Ovis aries: one gene and its partners. The protein of the gene in region 4 binds, or shares a complex with, the protein of the main gene of each other region. Links are inferred from orthologs where the notes say so. Each region holds a gene or a part of one and is shown on either strand. Other genes may lie near its edges.

Evidence for each region.
Region 1: MEFV (region 4) and ZBP1 share a complex: the UniProt entries of both Homo sapiens proteins name them as parts of the AIM2 PANoptosome complex. The link is inferred for Ovis aries from reciprocal best matches to the Homo sapiens genes MEFV and ZBP1.
Region 2: MEFV (region 4) and RIPK1 share a complex: the UniProt entries of both Homo sapiens proteins name them as parts of the AIM2 PANoptosome complex. The link is inferred for Ovis aries from reciprocal best matches to the Homo sapiens genes MEFV and RIPK1.
Region 3: MEFV (region 4) and CASP8 share a complex: the UniProt entries of both Homo sapiens proteins name them as parts of the AIM2 PANoptosome complex. The link is inferred for Ovis aries from reciprocal best matches to the Homo sapiens genes MEFV and CASP8.
Region 5: MEFV (region 4) and RIPK3 share a complex: the UniProt entries of both Homo sapiens proteins name them as parts of the AIM2 PANoptosome complex. The link is inferred for Ovis aries from reciprocal best matches to the Homo sapiens genes MEFV and RIPK3.

Annotation. Positions count from the first base shown.
Region 1 is NC_056066.1:58,234,217-58,237,729, forward strand, and holds part of ZBP1 (Z-DNA-binding protein 1), read left to right. Parts: intron 1-192; coding exon 193-396; intron 397-591; exon of another isoform or gene 592-789; intron 790-1,231; exon of another isoform or gene 1,232-1,325; intron 1,326-1,401; exon of another isoform or gene 1,402-1,407; coding exon 1,408-1,620; exon of another isoform or gene 1,621-2,914; coding exon 2,915-3,066; 3' UTR 3,067-3,513.
Region 2 is NC_056073.1:49,697,685-49,701,997, reverse strand, and holds the start of RIPK1 (receptor-interacting serine/threonine-protein kinase 1), read left to right. Parts: upstream 1-1,510; 5' UTR 1,511-1,770; exon of another isoform or gene 1,771-1,941; intron 1,942-2,218; exon of another isoform or gene 2,219-2,868; intron 2,869-3,603; exon of another isoform or gene 3,604-3,865; intron 3,866-4,313. UniProt on the Homo sapiens protein: Serine-threonine kinase which is a key regulator of TNF-mediated apoptosis, necroptosis and inflammatory pathways.
Region 3 is NC_056055.1:203,637,556-203,641,068, forward strand, and holds the end of CASP8 (caspase-8), read left to right. Parts: intron 1-361; coding exon 362-863; intron 864-2,392; coding exon 2,393-2,528; 3' UTR 2,529-3,447; downstream 3,448-3,513. UniProt on the Homo sapiens protein: Thiol protease that plays a key role in programmed cell death by acting as a molecular switch for apoptosis, necroptosis and pyroptosis, and is required to prevent tissue damage during embryonic development and adulthood.
Region 4 is NC_056077.1:3,232,490-3,236,002, reverse strand, and holds part of MEFV (pyrin), read left to right. Parts: intron 1-2,511; coding exon 2,512-2,742; intron 2,743-3,141; coding exon 3,142-3,164; intron 3,165-3,513. UniProt on the Homo sapiens protein: Involved in the regulation of innate immunity and the inflammatory response in response to IFNG/IFN-gamma.
Region 5 is NC_056060.1:20,648,045-20,652,301, reverse strand, and holds the start of RIPK3 (receptor-interacting serine/threonine-protein kinase 3), read right to left. Parts: upstream 2,810-4,257; 5' UTR 2,676-2,809; coding exon 2,656-2,675; intron 2,453-2,655; coding exon 2,312-2,452; intron 2,180-2,311; coding exon 1,870-2,179; intron 1,833-1,869; exon of another isoform or gene 1,549-1,832; coding exon of another isoform or gene 1,333-1,548; coding exon 1,187-1,332; intron 1,050-1,186; coding exon 1,003-1,049; intron 798-1,002; coding exon 630-797; intron 519-629; coding exon 433-518; intron 213-432; coding exon 1-212. UniProt on the Homo sapiens protein: Serine/threonine-protein kinase that activates necroptosis and apoptosis, two parallel forms of cell death. Necroptosis, a programmed cell death process in response to death-inducing TNF-alpha family members, is triggered by RIPK3 following activation by ZBP1.

The DNA of each region.
Region 1 (3,513 bases), on a different chromosome or scaffold from region 4:
ACCCTGGAAACCCACGCTAACTGTTCTGCCGATCCACCTGCTCTTCAATTCAGAGCCTAAAGTAATCATTCCCAGTCTGCCGGTGTCTCCTCTGTCTGGCTAGGATTTACCTGTGTGCATAGTGGGGAGGGGGTGGGAAGAGCGGTAGCAGAGGGTGGGGGTTAAGGGTCATGTTTCCATGTCCTCTACCAGGCTCCACAGCTCCCTGCTACCTCCCTCCAATGCCTTCTGCTGATCCCTCAACTCTGGATTCCCTGGCTGGATCCAGGGGGCCCCAGGACATCCGGATGGAGAAGTCTGTGCTCAGGCGAGTTCAGATGGGACATGGCAATGAGATGCGACTTCACAGCAACCCAGCCAAGGGCTCTGCCTGCGGCGCCTTTGACAGCCCCCCAGGTAATGAGACAATGGGCTGCCATCCTGCCCCCACCCCACCCCACCTGGCCTCCTCAATACATGGGACTTGAGCCAGTCCTTGTGGTGAGAGAGGCATTATGGGAAATTCTTTCCATCCCACCAAGAGGCTGTCCACAGAGTAGAGCAAGGGGGTCTGGCAGAGTTAACACAAGGATTCCCATTCCTGCTACTCACCTAGGAAACCTCGATGTCCTCATCTCTACAATGGGCAGGGATCATTTCCTGGGCCAGATGAAGCAGAGACAAAGGAGATGGCTGGGCTGGAAAGGCATCTAAGGAGCCACCTAGGTGCTGTTGACCAGAGGGCCGAGACGATGTCCTCGCTGGCACTGGGCATCCAGAGACAGGCTGGGGGAGATGCAGCAGAGAGGCCTGGGAGAGGAGGAGCCCCAGGGATGCCAGGGCACAAGTTTCCAGAAGAGAAGAGGCTTTAAGATCAAGGGAGGGTCACGGGGTCTGGCAGCAAGGGGTCTGCGGTGAGCTGAGGGGCCAGAAGGAGCGAGGGCAGTGGACAAAGGTGAGACAGAGCATGTCCAGCTCTCTTTTGAAGTTTGGCAGAGGAGGCAGGAGCAAGATGGCAGGGGCTGGGGACTGGGCCGGGGGCCATGTGAAGATTTTAACTGAAGATGGAGATGGTGTTCCAGAGCTGCCAGAAGGCAGGCAGCAGAGGGGCAGGGACAGGGGTCCACAGGGGCAGTGGCTGAGTGCCTGGGGAGGCACAGGGGACCAGGTCAGTGGGGACAGGCAGCAGGAGGGGAGCTCAAGCTGGCAGACCCAGGGGCCGAGAGAGCTGGCAGCCCAGGCATGTACATACAGAGTCACCACGTGAGGCCACGTGTCTGCCAATGACAGAGCATGGCATGGACCACTGCAGGGAGGCTCCAGGAGGACGGTCAGCTGTGGAGGATCTGGGAGCCATGTTGGAGGTCAGGCCTGCTGTCCAGCTGCTCACACCCCCTCCCCAAATCCCTTTCTATGACCAACCTGCAGCCTCTGTCCTGGGTACCAGCCCAGAAGCTTCCATCGAAATTCAAATCCCTGAACCAGGACCTCAGTCCGAAGGGGTCACGTCCCAGAGAATCCACATTCGCTCCTGCTTCCTCGAGGACACCACCGTCGGCAACAGCAACAGGATGATGGTCCACCCGGGGGCAGCTGATGTCAAGGGAGTCCAAAGGCCTAGGGAAACAGGAGGGGATGCAGGTGAGCCTGGGGCAGGGCGGGGGCCCCATGCTCTCTCTCTCATTCACTCAACAGTCCTGAATCTCCCGTTTCCTGGAGTCGGGGAGGCAGGAGAGTCATGGCAGAAGTGGAGAACACCTAACCCATCACTCAGCTGGGAGCCTCTGCTTCCCCATCTATCAGTTGAGGGTTAGAGGAGCCCATGGCTCCTGGGCTGTGGGGAGGATTGGATGCGCTCCACTCACTGCTGCCGCACCTGGATCAGACCAGTGACACGTTTGTGGGGCCTGGTGCAGCAAGAAAAAGCAAGGCTCCTTGTTCAAAATTTAGGAAGAATTTCAAGACAAAGACCGGAAAGCAGTAAGCCGAACACAGGCCCATCTGAAGGGCCTGTGTGACCACCCAAGCCACATGCCATGAGGCTGGGCTGCCTTGGAACCTTCTGGAACATGATCATTCCTCTACTCTTAGTCACCCAGCTCACTAATTCTTCCCCACGAATAATGCTGTAGCCATCTTACGCTTCTCCCACGTCTTCAGTTGTTAGGAAGAAGTCATTGATTCATTCATTCATTCACCCACTTTGGCCCCACTCCTGCACAAAAACCCTCCCCGTCCTTGGAAATACAGCTAAGAGCACAAAGAGACAAATACACCCCACTCATGAGATAAGAGTCCAGTAGCAAGTAGAGACTAGCCTTTTGAGACCAGCACTAAAAAGAACTCTAAAACGGGAGGCGGCAGGTAGGCAGCAGTGTGACCTAGTAGATGTGCCTTAGCCAGGCCGACAGAGACCCTCAGGATGAGGTGGCATCTGTGCCCAGGCCTGTAGGAAGGGAGGAACCAGACAAGCATAGATGTGGGAAGAGCACTGCAGGCAGAGGGAACAGCAAGTGCAAAGGCCCTGAGATGGGAACAAAGTCCAGGACCACACACATGAGCCCAGGGAGCAGAGGGGTGGGATCCAGTGGGCAAGGCTGGGTCTCTCCCTGATGGGAAGCCCAGGAAAAAGGCCTGGGTCTTATCTGAAGTGAGCTGGGGAGGCCTGGGGGGCTGGAGCAGGGGGACAGCATGATGTGGGGCACAATTTAAAAGTCTGACCAAAGATAACCTGAAATCAAAGGCAGGGAGGAAGTGGGAGCACTGGTCTGGGGGAGAAAGGATAGGGCTTTGTAGATGGGGACGTGAGGCCATCCACCCGTGAAGCCTGCACCCCAGGGAGCGGCTTCAGCAACCATGAGCCAAGTCACCTCGGTTGTTCAGTTGTTCGTGGGGAGATGGCTGACGTGTTCCTGGGGTCCCTTCTCTTCCCCAGAGCCTCCCCACCGAGATGCACCATCCAGAAGCGAGGTCCCTCCTGTTGGCAGTCGGGCTGACCCCGTCAGCGCTGAGACGCTCATCTCAGAAAACCTGGCAGCTACGACCCTTGAGAGGCATGACTCCGAAAACACAGAAGACACCTGCTGAGTGATGGACCCGAAGAGCCGGTGTCCCCAGAGGGGTGGGACTCAGGGCAAACAGCCTGCAGGCAGACACACAGAAAGAGCCTGGGGGCGGGTGAGCTCTCTGCTGCCATGTTATTTCTTACCTTCTCGCCTCCGGACGCGTGGCCAGTGTGGGTCAGCATTTGGGCTGGACCCGGCACGGTGTGAGGGCTGTGTCGAGGCAGTCTGAGTGCGGCTTGGAATAGAGTTTCCAGAAAGGAGTGAGTTTATTAAGAACAAAGGCCGGAAGTAAAGTGGGCACTGCAATCACGGTGGGCCGTCAGGTCCCAACAGGCCTGAGCAGCTGCTGTCCCCTCCCTATGTTGTGGCCAGGTCTGTCCTGCTCTGTCCGGGTCTGGTCTCTTGATGGCTGCTCTGCTTCCTGTCACCAGGCTCAGTTCCTCCGGCCACCCCTGCCCCTACCATCTAT
Region 2 (4,313 bases), on a different chromosome or scaffold from region 4:
AGCCTTTCTGGAAAGGCCCCTGTCAAGTGCTCCTAACCGACTCGCGTGACAGCAGACTCTAAGGGATTGACTCTTGGACTCACGTGACACACTTAAAGAGAGCGCTACCCCTACTGGACCTGCATGTCATCTGGTGACCTGAGAGTAGACTGTTCAGAATTGAAGCAGATGACTTCTAATGAGACAGTTTTCCCAAAATACTCAGAACAGGCCTGTTGGAGTTGGTCACCACACTTTCGATGACGACACTTCAGATGATCGCCACTGTCTGTTATCCTGGAAATGTGTGAACTTTAGGCAAAAAGTGTTCACAGTTCTGCTACTCCTTGTTACTCAAATGGAACCTCAATAGGTTTGCAATCCACACTTTCCCTCGGATGTGAAATTGTACAAAGGAAAGGGCCTCCCTGGCATTGAGATACGAAGTCACTGACACACAAAAATCTCACACTTGGATCACCACTGCTTTCTGAGAGATTCTGATCAAAAGGGGGAAATGTAAAAAACAAACACACAAAAAACAAATCTCAAAGAGTCAGGAGATAGAAAGGCTGGAGAATCTTTTCTAGCAGAAATCTTTTTTTTTCCCCGGCAATGATTCAGCCCATGAAAAGCAGTGGACTTTTAAAACATCTCTCCAACTTCCTTTTCCCCCATAAAGGTGTCCTCTCCATTTGCATGCAAGTTCCCAGGGTGGCAGACCTCAAATTGCAATTCTTTTCATAATAAACTTGTTTATGCTAGAGAAATAGTTGGCAGTCCATTTATTTTAGGCAGACAATATGTGGTGGCATCTCATTGGTTTTTCACAGTTTCCTAATATCCTATAATATTGAGCATCTTTTCATATACTTACTTGTCATTTGTATCGTGAGAAGTCTGTTGAGATCTTTTGCCTTTTCTCAATTGCATTTTTCCTTCTCTGGCATTTCTAGTATACTTTGGGTAACAGTATTTTATCAGCTATGCTTTCTGCAAATATTTTCTCAGTTTGTGGCATCTCATTACCTCCAGATATCTTTTTATAGTATGTAATCATGCTATATATATAATCAACTTTTCATCATAACACTATAGCAACCATTTCCCATTTTGCTTCAGACTTCCCAACCATCCTCGTATGATGCTGGTTCCTCCGCAGCCCCACAGAAGAGATTATCCCCACTTCACAGGTGAAGGAGATAAATGCCTGGGAGCTTGCTGCCTAGGGTTCCCGCGCTGCTGACCTGCAGAGCTCAGAATCCCCCGGGGAAGCAGCCCATCGTCTCCGGCCCTGCCCGCCGCGCCCGGCAGGTTTCTGTGAGTGGTTTCCGTGACTCGGCATTTCCTCTGTCCTCTCGGCCTCCCAAACCGCTCTGAGAGCACGATCCTCAGTCTGAGCGCGTCCCGGGGTTTCAGAACGGGCCCGGAGACCTTTCCAGACGCGGGGCGGGCGCTCTCCCCACCCTCCTCAGGGGCAGGAGCGGAGGCGGAGCGAGCAGTCCACGCCCTCCGCCGGCCGGGCTCCCTCAGTCGAAGCGCCGGCGGCGCGGACACCGCATCGGTGTCCCGGAGCGCTGACCCCGGAGCGCGGGGCCCCAGCGGGCCCACTCCGCGAGGAGCCCGAGCGCGCCGACCACTGGACAGCACGCGACGGACGGCTGGCCCGCGGAGCCGGGCGCGGTGAGGGCAGGGCAAGGCGGGGCGGTCCCCGCCCGCCTCCCAGCCGACGGCTCCGCCCCGGAGACCCCTAATCGGGCCCGGCGTGCCACCCCGGCCTGCGCCGGCCAGGTACTGCCGGGCGTCGGAGCAACTCTAGGCTGCCCCGCCGCCTCCTTCCTCACCCGGCCTGGGGCCTCAGGAAGTCTCCCGCGAAAGCGAAAGCGAATCTCTCGGTGCGTCAGCGCGGGACCGCCGGGCCCAGACCAGTCTCTGGGGCAGGCTTCCGGCAGGGGGCGGGGCTTCTGCTTCCGGTGGGTGGGGCGGGCGACGCGGCTGCCGGAGTTCGGGCGGTGGGCGTGGCCCGCGGCGTTCCTGAGGTCTGGCGGTGGGCCAGTGGGGTGGTGGGCGTGGCCCGCGAGTTCTCAGAAGGCAGACGGTGGGCCTTTAGGGTGGTGGACGTGGCCCGCGAGTTCCCGGAAGTCAGACGGTGAGCCGGTAGGATGGTGGGCGTGGCCCGCGAGTTCCCGGAAGTCAGATGGTGAGCCAGTAGGAGGGTGGGCGTGGCCCGCGAGCTCCCGGAAGTCGAGCGCCCAACTGCCAGCCGTCGGCGGTCCCTGCGGCGTCTCGTCTCGCCGGGAGTTTGGGTCTGGCGGGACCGGGCAGAGATTTGGCTCCCGCGCGATAACTGCCTGAGGTGGAGACGGCCCGCCACGTGGTTTGCGCTGTGGTGTCAGGGGAGGTGGCCGGTCTTCCCTGCGGTGTCGTTACGAGCTTTCGCCGCCCCGGGTCACGGGGGCGCCGGGGCCGCCGCTGCTCGCGACGCCGTCAGACGCCTTCCCGCGCCGTCTTCGAGGAGAGCTGGGAAAGAAGGGTCGACGGGCACGGCGGGGAGGGCGTCGTCCCCCGGTGGCGCGTGCTTTTACTAAGTGACTGAGCGCGCACACGCTCTCGTAGCCTCTTTAGAGTTTTGAAGAGGGTGAGCGCCACCCTTCTTTGCTCACGCTGGACAGCCTCCCACAGAGGCGGGGTTACTGTTCATTACTTTGTCTCTCGCTGTTCCTTCGGCTCTTCCTTGCTCGGAGCTCTTGCGTGTCCTGGACAAAGCCCGAGGCCCGTTACACTCAAGCGACTTTGCAATAGAACCGCTATTACTTCTCCCTCCATTCACACATGAAGAAATCAAGGCAGGAGTGACTTCTTCCTTGATCTACGTTTTGTAACCATCAGGTACGTAGGTGCAAGAGTGGGGAGGAGATTGTAGTCAATTATAAGTATGGGGAACTGCCCCCTTCTAAACACAAAAGGGAAAGAGGAAGCTTGTTTAAAGCAGTTGAGGTATCTCATCATCGTAATTATTATTACTGGTAAAACAACTATCATGATTAACTGTAATTTGCATGCTTCACTGAGCTGAATTGAGCACCACAGATACATTGCACTTTCAGGATTGTGAATATTCACGAGAATAAAGAAAAATATCCCTAAATAACAGTTTCCAAAATTGAAAATTTCTCTTGGATGCTTATTAATCAACAACATGGTAATACCACCAGTATGAGCTGGGAATTTGAAAAAGCACAGCTTCCCATGCTATGGTTGGACGTTATACTTCGGCAAAAATGATCGTGTTAACCTGTAGAATATTGATTTTGAACCGCATGTTTTCATATGTTTTTAAAATTTAGTCTGTACTTTCCCTATGTTTCTGAATGTAGCATACTTATTTAGTATAGGTGAGCAAAATTGTAAGATTAGGTCTTTGAATCTGATTTTAAGGAAGACAAATTATTGTTTACTCTCTGGAGAAGTAGCATGTGTTACTGAACTGATAGTGGAAATTTGAGTGAAGACATTAAGACTCAATTCTGGGATCTGTTACTCTAGGTGAATCATTAAACTCCAAATTATAGTTTCTCAGTTTGTAACTTGGAACCGATGTATTAATAAGTTGGTACTTCACAGGGTCATCATGTGCAAGATACACTGGGTTGAACTCTTGTAGTTTTCTCTCTTGCTCAGAGCTCTTGTTTATCTGAGGCAAAGCATCAAGCAGTTAAAATCAAAGAACCTTGAGAAATTCCCATTGGATGCCTGAGTAAAAACAGAGTTCCATGTGCAGAGGAAAAGGGGGTCATGATAGTCGGGTAGCCAGCATTTTCTGTCAGACTCCTCATGTATGGTCCTCACTGAAACACTGAAAAAAATCGCCCTCAACCACTTAAAGGTAAATATGAAATTTTTTTAACTTAAAAAAATTATTTATTGTGATACACAGAAAAGAACACACATCATAACTGTTTGACTCTCTTAATTGTCCTGAAGTGAACATTAAGAAGAGACAAGTATCGCCCTCACGCCCGACACTTCCTTCCTTCCCTGCTGGCTGCTTCCACCTCTCAGTAACTACTGCCCTAAGTGTTAACATTGTAGATTCATTTTCCCTGGCTTTTTGATGTTATATATTGTTAGTTATTTGTATTCTTCCCCAGTTTTACTGAAGTATAGTTGACAAAATTGAATGTCGATATGAATATTTTTTATATAGACTTACAGATAACTTGTGAAGTTTCTTGGAATTTCCAATTAATTTCAATTAATTTCCAATTAATTTCAATTAATTTTCCAATTAATTTTGAAAATCCATTAAAATAGACCGTTATATTCTCTGTTGA
Region 3 (3,513 bases), on a different chromosome or scaffold from region 4:
GTGGTCTAGGAATTACTGCCGTATACTATTGACTTTTCTTTCTTTTGTTTTCAATAAACTTATTTATTTATGGCTGCACTGGGTCTTCATTGCTGTGTGTGGGCTTTCTCTAGTTGCAGTGAGTGGGGGCTATTCTCTCTGGTGTGTAGGTATCTCATTGTGGTGGCTTCTCTTCTTGCAGAGCATGGGCACTAGAGTATGCAGGCTTCAGTTGTTGCTATGCCCCAGGCTTAGTTGCTCCAAGGAATGTGGAACTTTCCTGGACCAGGATCTAACCCATACCCTCTGCACTGGCAGGCAGATTCTTAACCACTGGACCACCAGGGAGGCCCAATATGATTTTTCTTGTTTCACTTTTCAGAGGCTTTGGACAAGACCTTTCGTGAACTTCATTTTGAGATAGTGCACTACAGAGACCAAACAGCAAAGGGAATCTGTGAGGTTCTGAAATCCTACCAGAAGAAGGACCACAAAACCAAAGACTGCTTCATCTGCTGCATCCTTACCCATGGAAACAAGGGCACCATCTATGGCTCCGATGGGCAAGAAGCCCCCATCTATGAGCTGACCTCCTACTTCACTGGATCAAAATGCCCTTCCCTTGTCGGCAAACCCAAAATCTTTTTTATTCAGGCTTGTCAAGGGGATAAGTACCAGAGAGGAATAGCTGTTGAGACCGACTCAGAACAGAGGGAAGCCTATTTAGAAGCGGATTCGTCACCTCAGAAGAGATATATCCCAGATGAGGCTGACTTTCTGCTGGGGATGGCCACTGTGAACAACTGTGTTTCCTACCGAAGCATCGTGAAGGGGACCTGGTATATCCAATCGCTTTGTCAGAACCTGAGAGAAAGATGTCCTAGGTAATTTTTGCTTATTCAATCCTACATTCATCTCCAAATGTCTAGTTGTGGATCACGTAGCTGATTCTCAGGTCAGTTGCAGAGTGAAAGAGACAGCAAGTGTTAAGATCTTTAGTTCACAGATGGAAGAACCTGAGATGCTTACAGAGGATTTTCTTTTATTTAGCACAAAGGGCCATCAGTATATCATAGAGCTGGAGAGATGGCAAAATCATATAGTACAGCTCTGTTTTTAGGCAGAAACATGACTGAACCCACTCAACAAGTTTGGAATTTCAATGTTTAACATTCTCTTACTCTGTCAAAAGTGAAAGTGTTAGTTGCTCAGTTGTGTCTGACTCTTTATGACCCCATAGACTGTAGCCCACCAGGCTCCTTTGTCCATGCAATTTCCCAGGCAAGAGTACTAGAGTGGGTTGCTATTTCCTCCTCCAGGGTATCTTCCGAACTCGGGAGCGAACCCAGGTCTCCTGCATTGCAGGTGGATTTTTCTTTTTTCAAACCATCTGAGCCACCAGGGAAGACTTCTATAATAGCTCACCAACCTCAAACCCTTTTGTGGGAGTTAAGAGCCAAGAGTAGAAACCTTTTATATTGCCAATAATTTGACTGCTTTGAAGCTCACAACATGTGGGAAAATATCTTTTTCTCATTTATTATCTTATGTTTCCATAGTTAAATGATAGTTTTGTATGGCTTAGTTCACCTAATGGACATACAACCAGCGAATAAATAGCAAGAACTCCTCTGCAAGTTGCTTCTAGTTTTGTGTCTTATTATGTTTTAAGTGTGTGAAGAGCAAGAATTGTCCATGGCAGAGAAAGGACTGAGAGGGAACCATAACATCTAGGCTATATTTTCATTTTGCAACTTAGACAGTGAATGAACCTGCAAGGTTCCAGGGAGCTAGCTACAGAGGTGAATGAACAGGTTGCCCAACTAAACTGATAAGAGGTGCTGGTGAGAAAGGGGTGGAGTTGCTGCAGGAGACATTCTATTTCTACTTGCTTCAAGTTTGATGGGGCCATCAACGAATCCACAGAAGCAATGCCAATTTGAGGCAGAGGATGTTGAGGGGCCTTGGGGAGATTAGTGGGTAAGTGACATAGTACTTGGAGTTGCTGCTGCTGCTGCTAAGTCGCTTCAGTCATGTCCAACTCTGTGCAACCCCAAAGACGGCAGCCCAACAGGCTCCGTTGTCTCTGGGATTCTCCAGGCAAGAACACTGGAGTGGGTTGCCGTTTCCTTCTCCAATGCGTGAGTAAGGTACGAATAGGTCAGGAGGGAAAGAAACCAAATCCAGTGTTGACACTGAGGTTTCGGATGGTCTTAAGATCCCAAATAAACCAAAGGTAAGTTATGAAGCTCTGAGAACTTCTTTACCGAGAAAGCTGGGGTAGGCCTTGGTTTAACACCTTATGAATTCAAATGCCTGATGTTTTGAGGGAAATAATTATCATTAACCACAGTAGATGATAGTGATTTCCTCCCATAGATATGTAATAACAAGGTTCTGTTACATTTTTCAGGGGTGAAGACATTCTGACCATCCTAACCAAGGTGAACTTCGAAGTAAGCAAAAAGGATGACAAGCAAAACATGGGCAAACAGATGCCGCAACCTACTTTCACACTGCGAAAAAAACTCTTCTTTCCTCTTAATTGATGCTATTGTTTAGTTGTATAACTAGACAATAGTTATGCAACTGAACAATAGTTAAAATGCTGCTACTTTATTCTCTTTCTTCTTCTTTTTATTTTCAAATAGCTGGCATATCATGAGAGTCAGGACAACATAATTTTTATGCAAATTCAAGCCTAAATCTCTGGCTTTGTAGACAATAACAGTCATAGCTGTGGTCTTGATTTCAATTGTATTTTTAATTTGATGAAAAGGTTTAAAAATGAACTAAAATAAACACAAAAAACACAGTAAGTTTAAAAGAAATATCAAAGATCATGGAGGGAGATTTTTGTGATCTGACCTAGCTGAAAAATCCCCTCGACTATTGAGGTTCAGGGTATAAAGTTCCCACATCCAGCCTGATTGCTACTGATGTGTATGATAAGCTGTCCTGGAAACATGTGACCCTCCTCTCCTTAGCCATGAGCAGACTCTGATTTTCAGTGGTGAAAACCACCACTCTTTAGACTTCAGTTTCAAAAGCTTAGAGATTATTTTCCTTTTTTAAAAGAATTATTCATAAATGCGGCATTCAACATACTTTTAAGAGAAATGATGTTAATATTAACTCGTTTTATACTTCCAGTAGATCTTTTCCCAAGCTGTCCTTTATACTAATTTGCAATATTTTGTAAAATAAAAAAATTTTAAAATTCATATATTAAAGATTTTAAAAATACCAAATGATTTTGTTTTTTAAAGACTCTTTCCAAACTGAAAAGTTTTTATATACATGCTTCTGCAGTGCTGAACATGATTTGCTTTTTTACTAAAAATGCAGTATGCCTTTTATATGTTTGCTCTTTCTTTATATGTTCAATTCACTTTAAATCTTTAGTAATTAATAATTAGTAATGTAATAAATATTTTTAACAGAATAAAATATAATTTTATCATACTATGCCTTGGAGATTGTTTTTGTTTTTTTGCCAATAGAACCTAGTCTTACAGGTAGAAAATGTTTGGG
Region 4 (3,513 bases):
AATACTGCTCCATGTTGTTTTTATAATTGCTGTTTTTTTTTTTTACAAAAGCCATATTTATTTTTAAAATTCAAATGGTTAAAGTGGACATTTTCTTTTAAAACTGTGGTTCTGTAACACCCCAGATTCCAACAAGTACCACTTAGTAGCCTTCCTGTTAAGCTGTTGTTCAGACTCTTGGATGCTTTAGTTGCTCCTGTTTTCCCTTCGTGCAAAGGTGCCTAACTAACCCACAGAGCCTTGATTTGTCTGATGCATTTCTGTTGGTTGGATTTCATCTCCCTGAGTTCCAAACTTGTCAGGACACACCATACGGCAGTAAGAGACAGGCAAAGAAAACAAAGGGCAGGATGAGAGGGAGGTGGGTGGCAGCTGTCCAGGTGTCTGACTTTTGGGAAACTGCTGAAAAAAAGAAAGTTAAGTCACTCAGTCATGTCCGACTCTTTGCGACCCTGTGGACTGTAGCCTACCAGGCTTCTCTGTCCATGGGATTCTCCAGGCAAGAATACTGGAGTGGGTTACCATTTCCTTCTCCAGGGGATATTCCCGACCCAGGGATCGAACCCAGGTCTCCCGCATTGGAGGCAGATGCTTTAACCTCTGAGCCAGCTGAATGGTAGTCAAATGAAAACCCTTTCCTATAACCCCAGGTGGCTTGAACCTGTGGGTGGAGCAGAGGTCAGGGGTGCTCCCAGTGGGGTGGAGGATGGTGAGGCAGGAACTGGGCTCCTGGGCTGCTCAGGGAAACCCAGGGAGAGAAAAGTGTCCAGCCTTCCCTTCAGGCACAGTGACAATGGGCCCTTATGAAAAGGAAATGCTGTTTTCAGGCCTTCACCTCCTCCTCTTCAAATAATGAAAAAAAATTTTTTTAATCATAGAAAAGAGGGTAGGGAAAGCGCCTTTTTACAGCAGAAAGCCAGCTAAAACAAGTACAGAAGAAGAATAATTAAATTAGAATATTTCCACTATACAGTTGACACTGACAGGGATCAGCAACAGCAGCTAAATTTTTTAGGAAAAAACCGGCAGAGAATAGCATACTTACACACTCTCAAAGTACCACTCCCCAAATTACTTAGTAATTATAAAGGAAATAATATATATTTACAGTAGTGACTGGCAGACCCCTCCTTAACCAATTACCAACCATAGAATCCCTATCCTGATGATGGCAAACTGGATAGTCTTTGCCTCCCAATGGGATGGGCTAGAAAGAGCGCGGCATTAGGTCTATGGCAATCTCACCCCCACCGCATGTTTCTCCTGAATTTAATCATGAGCAAAATTATCAGAGAATTTTAGAATATAGGCCATTGAACAGGATGGTTGACCTGTCCTCTTAAAAAAAAAAAGTCCACATTATTGCCATCAACAACAAAAGGTGTCCCAGATTCCATGTTTAGGAACATCACATTGGAAGCTTGAGACTGGCCACAAGTCTCAAGTTAGACACATGTGGGAGTATCTACCCCCACATGTTTAGTGCTTAGTTGCTCCGTCGTGTCTGACTCTTTGCAACCCCATGGACTGTAACCAGCCAGGCTCCTCTATCCATGGGGATTCTCCAGGCAAGAATACTGGAGTGGGTTGCCATGCCCTCCTCCAGGGGATCTTCCTAATCCAGGGAACAAACCCAGGTCTCCTGCACTGCAGATTCTTTACCGTCTGAGCCACCAGAGAAGCCCATCTACGCCACAGAAACAGCAAATGCCGCATCCCAGTCTTGGTTTTTTTGTTGATAGTCTAGACTCAGACAGTGAGTGATGGGGAAAGTGACTTGTGCAGACCAGAGGCACGGGTGTGTGTCTGCGGTGCTGTGCTGTGAAGACCGGGAGAACACTCTTCCACATGCGAAACCCAGCATGTGATTCAGCAAAGGCTGCTGATGTTACAGGGGAAGGTGTGAGGTTCCACATGCATCGAGTTCATAGTCTTACTCCTTAATTACAGAAAGATACCAGGCAGTGTCGGAACCACTATCGTATGTCAACTAGGGGACCACAGGTGGCAGGGGAACAGGGGCCAGGCAAACATCCATAAAGCATCCTGGGAGGCCCTGGGCTGTCTGGAATTTACACCAGAGTTCTACCCACTAGCAGTCTTTGTTGTGTCTAGCAGTTTTGCTAATAAAGGAATGTGCCCGTATTAAAATTAACAACAAAAGGTGCAGAGACATTTTTGGTTCTAAAGAACTTGAAATTTAGTCCTGTCCTTCTGAGCCAAAAATGAGATTTCTTCTGTACGGTCTATGTGAAGGGTCCTCTCCCTCCTTGGACGAAGGAAAGTTACCCTAGAGCAACTTCATGTGTCCACCACAACTTTCTAGTGATGAGAAAGTCAAGCGTGGCCAGTGTGCAAGAGTACTGGAAGTCAAGTTCACTTGCATCCAAATAGATGGACTGACTTGCCCCCAATCAGGGGGAGGAGAGAGGACTCTCCCTTTGGAAAGTGGGCTTCTGGGTATTCCCTGAGCAGACAGGCCCCTACATCTCCCTAACTTCTGTTCCCCAGAAACAAGCTGAAACCCAAAAGCAGAGAATCCAGTACCAGTTGGAGCAGCTGTGCCAGTTTTTAGAGCAGCAGGAGCGGCTCTTTGTGGCCTGGCTAGAGGAGTTGGGCCAGACCATCGGCCAGGTTAGGGAGACATATGGCACCCGAGGGACGAGGGACATCGCCCTTCTCGACGAGCTGATTGGGGAGCTGGAGGCCAAGCAGTGCCAGCCAGAGTGGGAGCTTATGAAGGTGAGCGCGGCTGGGCCTGGCCTTCCTCTGTCCACCATGCCCAGTAGGATGACAGGGGCTCCCAATACTGCCATCAGCTCTCCCCAACCCAGTGGTGAGGCCCTTGGGGCTGGGGTGGGACTTGTCCTTGGTGACCCATAATGCCTCTTGTGCTCAGGCCCCTGCAATGCACCCTCAGGAACCCATGGTGGCCTAGAATCTAGGGTATCCATTAGCATCTCCCAGATGTCAGCAGACTTTGGGTACGGTTGTGGTCAGGCCCCAGCTGAGTTGCCACCTTGGTGATTAGAACTGGGGAGAGGGGCCCTGTTTTTGCTGACACTCTGGGACAGGGAGGCCAGGAGTCAGCACAGCCCTTACAACACTGGTGATGGAGAACTTCTCTCTTTTCTCTCCTAGGACATTGGAGTCACCTTGCACAGGTACCAAGAGATCCCCTGATGATCCCTTGGTGGTCGGGGGGCGGGGGGGGGAGGGTCCTGCAGGTAGCATCTGGGGAGGCAGCCCTAGGAGGGAGATGCTCCCAACCCCGGGGATGTGCCTCCTCCCATCTCCTGCAGCTTCCGAAGGCCTTTCTGGATTTGTGTAGGAAGAATGGGAGCATGATCAGGAGGGGAGTGCAGGACTGAAGACGGAACCCAATGAACACACCTGTCGCATGGTGGTGGCTTTCTAGGAATAACAGCCTGTGTCCTGTGCAATTCACCTTGTGAAAACTGTTCTGCAGGACTGCCTGCTTGCAGGCACAGGGAGAGAGGCACTTTCCAGAAG
Region 5 (4,257 bases), on a different chromosome or scaffold from region 4:
GCAGGCGGAACCTGCTCTCTCGGGACCCTGATGTTCTCAAGAAGGTTTGTACATTTTTCAGGAACAGAGCTGGGGCGCCCCTCCAGATTCAGCTTCATCATTTCAGAGCCCAGGGAATCATGGCTTCCTGTGGTTTCCTTAGGACTGTCTATTTCTGTCCTTTCCAGGCCTGGGCTGTTGCTGCCCCTGTACTCAGAAAGGAACTCCTTCACCTGTAGGGATGGGGAGCTGGCTGGGCATGGAGGTGGGAGAGCCGGAGTAAACCCAAGGGAGTTGGGTCCATATCTGTTGCCTGGGAACTCAGGGATGGGGTGAGGAGAGAGGGGACCATGGTCAAAGCTTAGAGAAGGGTGGTCAGTGGGGGGTCACTGAGTGGCCAAGGGGGCCGCGTTTGCCATCCTGCCCAGCTCCTGGGTGGGGGTGAGCACTCACCACGTAGACTGCGGCATTCATCTTTCTACCAGGCGCATCTCCTTTATTTACCAGATCAAGGGCTTTCTGGGTGTTTATTCGGCATTCTAGAGAGAAGGCAGAGTGGGTGGCAGGTCAACAAAATTTCTTTTCCGGGGGAGAAGCCCCTGCTGACAAATTCAGGCCTGTCTCAGCTGCCAGCCGGATGGCCAGCACACCTTGGAAGGAAGGCCTCTTCTGGGGCTCATGGCTCCAGCACCTCTGCATCAGATCTGCCAGCTCTTCCAAGCCAGGAGTCTCAGGCCCAGACGGGGGCAGCTCAGTCAGCGGGGGCCGGATCCGCCTCTCACACACTGCTTCCCGCACCAACAACGTCTGGGGCACTACTAGGGTGGGGGTAGGGGTGTGAAGAGAAGGCATTCAGAGTATGAAGGCTACCCCATCACGGAAAGGGCTGGGGAGTGTAGGAGATGTGAGGAGGGAGTGGGGCAGTCTGAGCAGGTAAACAGGAGGAAGAGGGCTTGGGGTTGGGAGACTGGGGGCTTAGAGGAGGGGGGCACCTGAGGTGAAGGATCCCAGAGTCTGTCTTACTCTCAGCTTCTCTTCCGGCTAGCACTGCCCATGTTAGGATCCCAAAGCTGCAGTAGACACAAAGCTGAGGCCTGACTCAACTGCTGGCAAGATTCCTTTCCATACAGCATCCCTTTGAAGGACCCAGGCAGGTGTAGAAATTGGGGATATATGTTTGGATATATGTTTGGAGTGGGTGCCTTACCTGTAGACATCACTGGCCCTGGAGGCCTTCTGGTTTATATTAGCCAACAGTTCTGGGGCCAGGTAGGCTGGGGTGCACCCTGACTCCCAAGATCCTGCCCCTGACTGTGAGCCTCCCTGAAATGTGGACAGGCCAAAATCTGCCACCTGCAAAAGGGAGATAAGAACGAGGAGATAGGGGATGGAACAAAAGGGAGATAAGAAGGAGATAGGGAATGGGCAGGTCCAAGAAACTCCCAGAACCCTTTCCTTACTCCTCTCCCCCCAAAAGTGCAGGCCCAGCCTTGCAAAGACTGTATGGAGGGTTAGGGGAAGGGTAGGACCAGTGGGGCCCCTGGCTGGAGGCCTGGGTCCCCTCTCCATGGCACCAGGTTGAGGTCTGAGTCTCCTGGGATAGATCAGCTACGGGTCTTTGGAGGCCCGTGGGGTGGGCCTGTGGAACTGACCAGGGTAAGTCAGGTGATGGTCAGGTGATGGTCAAGGCCTCCATCACCTGGTGTGGCAGGGGCCAGAGCTCCAGGCTAGGCCTTGACACTTGGGCAGCCCTGTGTCCAGAGGGAGATGCTGAGGGTATTCAGGAGACAGGGCTGCAGCAGATGCGGGTCCTATGTCCCGTGGATGGGGTTGGAGCAGCTCTGGGGCAGGACCTGGTCCAGAAGATGGGCTGGGTGAGGGTGGGCTGACCTTGGCGTGCAGCTCTGAGTCTAGCAGGACGTTGGAGGGCTTGAGGTCCCGGTGGAGAAGCACTGGGTTCTGGCTGTGCAGGTAGCACATCCCGAGCACCAGCTCCTGCAGCAGGCGGCAGAGGAGCGGCCAGGGCCGAGGGCAGTGGGGCTGTAGCAGCTCCGCCAGGGAGCCGTTCTCCATGAACGGAGTCACCAGAGCCGGCCCAGACACGTACTCCCACTCCAGCTTCTCGGTGACCCCCAGCAGGAGCAGCACATGCTTGTTATGCAGACTGGACATGGCCTTCACCTCCCTGGATATGGCCCTCCTGCTCTCAGGGGAGAGGTGCCGTCAGCTCTGCGCCCGAGCGACCCTCCCCGCCGCCCAGGCCCCGCCCCGCACAGCGGCCCCTCCTCCCCGGCCCAGCCTCCTGGACCAGACCCCACCTCGGGTCACTCACGAGTTCACGATCTTGACCGCCACTTCTACGCCCCAACTCCTGTGATGTGCCCGGAAGACAGAGCCAAATCCGCCCTTGCCTATTAACTCCGGGTTCTCCAGTTCCTCGATGGGCACCAGCGGGGCTGAGGCACCGCTGGGCCTGAGAGAGGGGGGCCACGTAACCAGCCGGCCGCGGGCCCAAGGCCTCCCTACTCCCCTCCGAGGCCCACCCCTCTAACCGCCCCCCGCGCCCACCTCCGTGACTCGGCTCAGCGCTGTCAGTTCGAGCCCCAGCCCCTCCCGTGAGACGCACTGTGCCCTGGTCTTGGCACGAGGCGCATCCATATCTCAGTCTCCACTCACCATAACGCAGAGCCAGACATCAGGCTGGAAGATGAGAGAAGCTTCTGGAAGTTGCGAGCCCCCACGGATGAAAGAGGGGTTGGGGGCGGGGAGAGGAATCAACCTCCAGGCTCCTTCACGGTTCCGCTTCCCGCTTCGCGGGGTTGTGCTCTCTGCCCGATCCACTTCCTTCTTTAATTGATGCCTCTACAGTCCCGCCCCGGGGGCGGGGAAGGGCACAGGGCAGGGTGCAGAACAGAAACTAGTGCTGCTCCCAAGGTGTCAGGTCAGGTCTGGTTGTCGCTGGGTATCCTCACCCTCCAGGAACCCGCAACCACCTCCTACCGCTGGCCTCTCTCCCTTCTTCCACAGGATTCCCAGCTCCAGCGCCAAGCTTGGGATACCGCGGCGGGGTTCGGGGAGCGGAGGGTTGGCGGGGGGCGGGGGGAGTGCGGGCGGTGGCGCTGAGTAGGATGTCATGGTCCTAGGACTCTGTTCTCCCACAGCTGCCCTAAGATCATAGTTAACACTTCTCTAAAGCTCACCACATGCCATTAGCTCACTTAATCCTCACATCAACCCAAGGGGATAGGTACTGCTTTTGTTACTTCTTTATAGGTGAGAAACCACTGAGCGTATAAGCACCTGGCCCAAGCTGACATGGAACTGACGTCAGAGCCTGGCTCTGAACCGTGAAGCTTTGCCGTTTTCACAAAGACGTCAGCTGGTGGGGAAGGTGACGGGGGAAGGTGTGGCTTGTCCACTGGGCTCTATTCTTTCCGAATACAGACCTCTCCCAGGGTGCTGTGGTCAGCTAGGTGAATTGGCCCACCAGAGAGTTGCTGATACTGTGGTGTACACGGCAGTGGAGACACCGCAGAGCCTCTCTGCCCTCTCTCCCCACCCTCCATTGCAAATTCTCTGGTTAATATTAATAAATCTTCCTGACAAACATGCTCTGGACAAGGGTCTTGGAGAACTCAGGAGCTTGGGGAGACTTAAGGATTCAGGGTTGACAAAAGGTGTTCATATTTTACCTGCCCAAGGCCTGACCATAGCTGAAGGTTATGGAATTAGATACGGCCAGCCTTAGGCACTCAGTCCTTCATGGGGAGACTCAACCCTGTGGGTCATGGGGCAAGACTCCCTGGAAGGTGCTCACCTTGTGGAACTTTCCATCCTGTCCAGTGGTCCATGGACTCCTCTAGCTGGAGCAAAAGTGGCCAGCAGTTAACTGTGGTTCCTCCAGAAACTGGAACTCCAGGATACACATCTTGAATTCTGATGGAGTCAGTGCATGCTATTTTTGACCTATTTAGGGAATTCTTAAATTGTAGTCTCTTTAAAAGCTGGTACAAGGTAGGTATCCAATAAATATTTGTTGAATTGGATTAATAAATGAACAACCCAAACTTTTTGAGGCTTCACTGAGATGCTAACCATCCCAGGTGGTGCTCCATAGTCAACAGAGAGGAGCTAGGAGGTTGGGTTTATTTCTGGTTTGGGGTCTCTTCACGTACCTGCGCAGTCGACAGAATTAATCTGAAGTCTTATGGTGATACGGTGGTATCTCACGGAATATAAAGGCAAGTCTGGAAGTTCCTCAAAAACGTCTAGTTCAGG